Linked DNA regions of Schizosaccharomyces pombe. The gene in region 1 interacts genetically with each later gene. Each region holds a gene or a part of one and is shown on either strand. Other genes may lie near its edges.

Region 1 (4,160 bases):
TTGTATGAAACGTCGCGTCGGTTGCGTACTTGTGCGAGGAAATCGTGTTATTGCGACAGGCTACAATGGAACACCTAGAGGAGCCACTAACTGTAATGAAGGCGGATGTCCACGTTGCAATTCTGCTTCTTCCTGTGGAAAAGAACTTGATACCTGTCTTTGTCTTCATGCCGAAGAAAACGCTCTTTTAGAGGCTGGCCGTGAACGCGTTGGAAACAATGCAATATTATACTGTGATACGTATGTAAATATAGACATAAAGCTACTAACAGTCGAAAGATGTCCCTGTCTTACGTGTTCTGTCAAGATTACTCAGCTTGGGATTAAAGAAGGTATGTTTCAGTTCTTTAATCTTTTACTAATGCTCAGTTGTCTATCATACGTCTTACAACATGGACTCCCATACCGCTTCTCTCCTTCAAGCCGCAGGAGTTCAATTACGACAATATATTCCTCCGGAAAACAGCATTTTCTAAGTTAATAACAGAACTTACTTTTTAGATTACCGCTCTTTTTGATTGCAGAAAATACGATTTTAATATCTTTATTTAATACTTACAATATTGATGAGATAACAATCAAATAATACAATAATTATTATTGAGCTATAGGAATATTTAATCGTATTTAAGTAACTTTTTCAAAACTGATACCATTTCCTCACGTGGCACAAGCTGACCTTCATCGCTATTTTCTTTTAAACCCATTTGTTTAATACGAACAGATCCCTTTGCAAACTCATCTTGACCCAAAATTACAGCAAAAGGTACGTCGAATTTATCGGCGGCGTCAAATTGTTGACGTGGTTTGGGTTTCACTTTGTAAAGAAATTCTGCTTTAATGCCATTTGCCCAAAGGTCTTTACAAACAGACATACGCTCTTTCAAAAAGCCGGTCCATTCTTTTCCACCTCCAAATGCCATAACGAAAACATCAACATCATTTGCACGGATATCCTCATCAGGAATTTTTGATCTAAGAATTGAAAAAATCCTCTCTAAACCAAGGCTAATGCCAACACAAGGGATTTTGGCGTTTTTCTTTGCAGCAAACATTCCAACTAAATTGTCATAACGTCCACCAGCAGCAATCGAACCAACGCCAATAGAGTCATCATTGGAACGATCTGCTTCAGGATCAGCAGATTTTTTCTTTTCCGCCGAACTCTTAATCTTTGGAGCAGAAGCCTCTGTTACTGCTTCGTAAATGATACCAGTATAATAATCGAGACCACGCGCTAGAGACATATCAAATGAAAACCTATCTAACACTCCAAAAGCTTCCAAATAATCAAATAAAAGACGCATGTCGTTAAATGCAGCAACAGCCGAGCTATTGCTTGATAGTAAACTATCGGCTTCAAGCTTATCTAAAAGAGAGCGGTCGCCTTTTAATAACACATACTCCTTAATTTTATCTGCCACCTCCTCTTTAAGTCCTTTTTCAACCACCATTTCACGTCTGACATCTTCCCAAGGGAGTTTATCTAGCTTGTCCACAGCACTGGAAATGGTACGAATTTTGTCATCCGGTACACCACAAACAGTAAAAATGCCATCCAAAATTTTTCGATGATTAAGCTTGATAGTATAATTTCCAACTTCTAATGCATCTAATGCTTCCACTAAAACCTTTAAAGCTTCAGAATCGGGAATCATAGGATCGTAGTTGCCAGCGATATCAAAATCGCATTGATAAAATTCACGCATACGGCCTTTTGTCATAGCTGGCTGATCTCTTCGATAAACCTTTGCAATATGGAATCGCTTAATACTCGTAACTTTGGGATTCATAGCTAACCAACGAGCAAATGGAACAGTCAAGTCGTATCTCAAAGAACAAAGCTCTCCACCTTGATCTTTCAAATCGTAAATTAGCTTGCTGTCTTCTCCATATTTTCCGGAAAGAATTTCTTTCAATTCGAACACTGGCGTATCGAGTGTTACACCACCATGACGCTTGAATATCTCTGTGACAGTTGAAAAAATGTGCTCACGTAAAACAACATCTTTGTCACACCAATCTTTAGTACCCTTCGGAGTTTTCAGTGTAAAAGATGTGTCTTTTTTCTTTCCTGATACTTCCGAACCCCCAAGTTTGAGGTTTTTCAGTTGAAGTAATTTAGCAACTTCTTTATCAATGTCCTCTTTAGAGGCGCCTTGACTTTTCAAAGATCGAACAAGATTTCCTTGTGAAGTTATTCTTTCATTTATATCTACTAGAGAATCAGCCATAGTTCTCAAGAAACGCCAATTTAAGAGGCTAGACGAAAATTTGGTGGTGAATAGGTTTTTGGTAAAAACAAACATGCACTAACTGAAAATGCAAATCTCAGTATTACATCCATTTAAATACATTTTACGGTGATTGAAGGACTAATGAAACCATTTGTCATGTTGATTAAATAACCAAGAAAAAAATATAGAACCTTGGATAATGAAACATTGAAAATTTTTTGGATTTTATGTTATGCAAACCAAGTGGGATAATTTCATTTGAAAATAAAAACTAGTTATTATATATTTTTTATAAATTTAAAAACCTAATATTTGTGAAATGACAAGTTCTATAAGTAAAAATTTAATATCAAAAAACCTTTTAAAATATGGACTTTTTTAAAATAGTAAAAACACTCAAAAAAATCAAAAATAATGTATTTTAATATTTTAGGATTTAAATCATTACAAAACCCATTCCACTAGGCCTCGAATAATCAACACTTTTAGAAGCATCGATTCCTCCAGGAATTTTTGGACAGTTATAATTATAGATGTAATAGTTCAAAAAACCGTCTCCTTCTCCAAATTTTAGGTCCTTCAAGAATAGATTGTTATCCAAAACCGTAACAGCATTGAATACATCAAAGTGGAACTGTTTTGAATTATTAGCAAGTAATAAAACCATATAAACTTACCTTTTTAGCCAATATAAGAGCATCATTAACTATCAATTTACAACGTTCAACGAATGCCAACTGTGATTCAGAAGATAAGTCTTTTGGACAAGAATCAGAGGCATAGTAGTACAAGTATGCAGCTTGAATATCTTTGTATTTTGGGTTTCCTATTACAGTTGAGGGTAAAGAGTAAAACGAAAAAAAATCGGTAATTTTCTTGGACTCTGGATTCTCCACAACGTAACTCCAAACAACAGGGCCACTTGAAACCTTGTCAGTGTACAAAAACCAATGTCGCACTTCCTCTTCCGAAAATAAGTGGGCAAGTTCGAAACGTTCCATGTATTGAGATAACAGCGACTGAACGGCAGGTACATCTTTCAACTCCATCGGACGTAAACCCGGGGTCTGAGTATTTGGAGGTAAATGATATTTTGCAGTCTCCTTTTTCTCCGTTGACCCCAAGGGAAAAGGTGCGAATCCTATATCGTACAGTTTCTTCCAGTTTAAACTACGATGCATATAACGAGACAAACTCACGGGACTGGGTAATAATACACCGGCTGTATAAACAGCTTGCCAAACATTCTCAAGATGACATCTACGTGTGACTTCTTTAATTAATAAAGGAGTAAGGCGCTTGCTTCTAAGTTTTTTATGTATGCACAAGAAGTTCACTTCAGCACATTTCTTAATAATTTTGTCACGAACCCTAATACTTAAAGGAACAGCAGAAATGAAAGCTACCAACTTACGAGAGGACTTTACTCGTACTCCGACGTGCCATTCTTTTACATATCCAGGGGGCATAAGGGCCCACCTGAGAAACTCTGAGATGTATGCAAACCGAAGCATCGCCGTAGCATCCTCGACATAATTCTCAGTTAAGAGTTCATGAACCTCAGATAACTATAGAAATGTCAGCAAGTTTTGCTTCTTAATACGTAGCAGAAAACATCAAACTACACTAACCTCATTGTCGTTTGTTACATCAATAGTTGCCCACTCAAACTCTTTTAGCAAACGATAAGGTTCTCTAGGAACCTGGTTTATATCGGTATTGGGATCTATTGGGCCTTCTTGAGTACATTCATCATCTATTATGGTAAGCATTAATATGTATAAAAGAATCTCAGAGTATATTTCAACAAACCAGGATAGGCATACCAAACTTAGGAACTGGCTGGGTTTTCCAAAATTTGAAATCTTCGTAAGTCTTTGGGGGAGCTGCAGCTTCTTCTTTTTCTATCAAAGATCTCAACGC
Region 2 (3,471 bases), on another chromosome or scaffold:
TTGGGGGAAACAAACGTATTGATTGTTTTTGTTCATACACGCATTTCTTTGCATCCAGTAATTTTGGTTTTTTAAAACCACTCTCTTTTTTATCATTTCTCCACTTCATGTTCTACTCATTGCGTTCTGAGGCCACTGTATTTCATTTATTTGCCTGTGCCATATTCGCTACATCATTAAAGGATTTGTTTGCGTTGAGACACGCGTTCATTCTAATCACCATATTTAAAATAACTTATGCTTGCTTAATCTATTACTAATTTATTCAATTTAAGTGGATAGCTTCCGTTCAGGCTTGTTTTACGTTCTTTTATGTCTCTCATAGTCTCAGGTATCATTTTTTTTTTGGAAAGTGCATAAATGCAATATGGATTTAACTGAGCTATTTTAAATGGAAGTTTACATCTTTCAACTTTTTTAGATGTTAATTAATACAAATACCATAACTTCGAAAAACTATTATAATATTCTTTATTATACCATGCTGTTTATTAAATTGTTTACTGAATTAATGTTTCATTATTATGAGTTGCTTTAGCTTTCAAGGTAGTATTTAATAATCGTTCAGTAGAAAAGCGGATTATTCATTCCCAAACATAAAAAGGTAAATGGAACATACTAGATTAGTTTCTACCCGTATTTGGCATTCCAAAAATAATATGATGAGATCTCATCAGTTTAAAGTGCGCTAGACAATAAACTACCATTAGGCCACGCATATTATTTACTGTTAGCACTGCACACCAAGTAAACCAATTAATTCAAAACATGGGTTCAGTTCGCATTCGCTCTGTCATTAAAGAAGATCTTCCGACCGTTTATCAGTTTATTAAAGAATTGGCAGGTAAGCGCCGTTATGACCAAGAGGACGAAGTCGTGTAGATTCTATTAAAAGGCTAGAGCTTTTGCCAGTATCCCAGACTCACAGGGTCTGATTCTCTTATTGAATTGGAGATTACTCTTAAGCTTTTTATATGGATTTGAGAATATATGGTTTTCGTCAGCAGGGTCGATCTCTACTTCTGTCCGCATGCTATCAGATCAGTTTGTGTTACTATTTAAAAACCGGTTTTAACATTTTGTTTATGAAGAATTTGAAAAATGTGAAGATCAAGTGGAAGCGACAATTCCGAATTTAGAAGTTGCATTTGGATTTATTGACGAGGTTACTCCTGTGGCATATGGAGTATTCATCGAAGAAAATGATCAGGTTCGTAAAAAAAAGTAAACTTGCTTGATCTTTTTTACTAATCTATAATTGCCATCAGCCCGCAGGAATGGCTATATATTTCCTAAATTTTAGGTAGTGAAAAGTTCCGTTTTGAAATATATGAGCTGACGTTGAATAGCACGTGGACTAGCAGAGTGGGGATTTATTTAGTATGTTCTTATCATATTGTCCTTCATAACCTTTTTATTGAAGGATTAACTTTTGATTTCATAGCAAGATTTTAACCATTCAATTTCTTAGGAGGACTTATATGTTCGACCCCAATTCCGTGGAAAAGGATATGGAAGCTACTTACTGTCTTATTTAGCACGAGAATCACTTAGAATTGGTGGCAGACGTCTTGACTGGGTTGTAAGTTGTTTATAACCCATTTCTTTTTTTATACCTTGACTAATACCCTAGGTCCTTGATTGGAACCAGAGAGCCATTGAAGTCTATGAAAAGGCTGGAGCACAAAAAGTTGGAGGATGGAGTATGATGAGAGTCACCGGCGAGAACCTAAAGGCTCTTGCTGATAAACTTCCCGGCAACTTTTAAACTCATACCCAATACTTAACGCTCTAAAAAATTGAAGCATGATATGTTATACCTTTGAAACCTTGAACTGGAAAGAGGAAAATTAATTTTTTATGATTGAAAGATCCTGGATCTTGTAGTTTCGTTTTAAAGCGGTCATTTCAATGTCTTTAGGTTATTTCCCGTTTACCAAAAAATACGATATCAATTTACATCTTACATTTTTTAAAATTAAAAAATAAAGAATCCTTTTTTTTGCAAAGTAAATTATTAGAACTGGTATATTGTTCTAATGTTAATTCCTATAAAACTAATTTGATCGTTTTCCTTTCAATTCATCAAATCGGCTTCTTATTGTGTATTAAAAAATAGAAAGAAAGTATTGGTTAGTATTCTTGAATATCTTTTATTGTGTTTCTTTTTCGAAACGCGTCGCGCGCAATTGTAAACAAACCAACTACCTACAACAGTTTGCCTGTCAATGTTTCAAGGAAAGTGCGCCTTTTTTGATGAAACCGTACCTTCTGCATTAATTGCTTTATGGCGTAAGTTTTAAAGGTTTGATGTGCACTTGTTTGTTGTCGAATGATTTATGGTTCAGTTGTTCTTACTAAAGATAGAATTACACAACGGAGAAGCGAAATTTTTAGCAGAAGGTTATGAAAATTTTGATTATGCATTTTCAATGCATCTAAGAAAGCACGTCCGCTTGCCAAATTACAAATCAGTTCAATGTCGTTCTCCTTGGTGGATTGCGGAGCAAGTAGCTGTTTCCAGAAGGTATTTATTAAATTTACTAAATATTGCATTGATAGTTTATCTTATCATTTACCAAGGCAAGTACTAACCACCATTATTAGCAAAAGTTACGTTTCTGAACCTGTCATTCATTTGAACGTGATGGAACCTTTATATGTTGATCACAGAATACGTTCAGTGTATCTACAGCCTCTGCCATCCACGCTTTCTTTTCTAAACGGTGAATTACCTTGAAATGCTTTGGTGCTGATATGGCGTTGTTCCGATTGTAAATTCTATGCTAATTGTGAAAAATACCTTTCCTTTTTCTATCCTTTATAATTTAATGATCGTTCCTTTAGCTCTCAAAATCGTCAACTGAAGTTGTCACAACCTTCACTTAACCATACGTTACGAATATTAATTTAATGCCTATTTATGCTATTAGCCTAAGATTATTTTCGAATTTTACCTAATTTCTTTATTTATATCCCATAAAGACACTTACGTCTTTTCAATGGACAATTGAACAAGTATACATTGCATAAACATAAAAAACTTACTTCATCTAAGTCCGAGTTTAAAAACTGTTGTTTCCATTTATTATTTCTCATTTACGTTTCGTTTCTTTTTTATTCTCTATTTTTTAATTCTTTTTATAATAACTTTTTTTTTCTGGAATCGCTCACCATTCGGACTAATTTATCTACTTATTTGCATAGGAAACATGAGCAAGTCTACTTTTCATCAAACTTCCCCATCTTTTGTACAATACACTCATGCTACAGATAAACTAAAACCTGCACCTCATGGGATGAATACGCGGGGAAATAACTTATCCTCTATGTCAAAAAATACCGGACAAAGAAAACAGCGTTCCAAATCCATTCATGGACTTCCAGTTGCTCCCGTTTTTTATCCTGATAAAGAGGAATTTCAGGACTCTATCGGTTATATTAATAAGATAGCTCCAATCGGTGAAAAAT

What was found.
Region 2: of hrs1 (region 1) and bqt2, changing one suppresses a phenotype caused by changing the other (phenotypic suppression), as found in Schizosaccharomyces pombe (one study listed by BioGRID).

What each region holds. Positions count from the first base shown.
Region 1 is NC_003423.3:3,455,314-3,459,473, reverse strand, and holds hrs1 (histidine--tRNA (His) ligase Hrs1), read right to left. Parts: upstream 2,310-4,160; coding exon 618-2,309; 3' UTR 562-617; downstream 1-561. Other genes in the region: dcd1 (deoxycytidylate deaminase), read left to right, coding at 1-240, 280-332, 370-476; myr1 (N-myristoyltransferase 1), read right to left, coding at 2,674-2,871, 2,915-3,805, 3,869-3,993, 4,064-4,160.
Region 2 is NC_003424.3:1,806,539-1,810,009, reverse strand, and holds bqt2 (bouquet formation protein Bqt2), read left to right. Parts: upstream 1-2,228; coding exon 2,229-2,292; exon of another isoform or gene 2,293-2,367; coding exon 2,368-2,527; exon of another isoform or gene 2,528-2,607; coding exon 2,608-2,740; downstream 2,741-3,471. Other genes in the region: SPOM_SPAC1002.07C (N-acetyltransferase Ats1), read left to right, coding at 769-844, 1,092-1,210, 1,269-1,303, 1,350-1,380, 1,472-1,582, 1,634-1,768; histone demethylase Jmj2, read left to right, coding at 3,213-3,471. UniProt on the Schizosaccharomyces pombe protein: Involved in chromosome segregation. During meiotic prophase, connects telomeres to the spindle pole body by forming a bridge between the telomere protein rap1 and the spindle pole body protein sad1.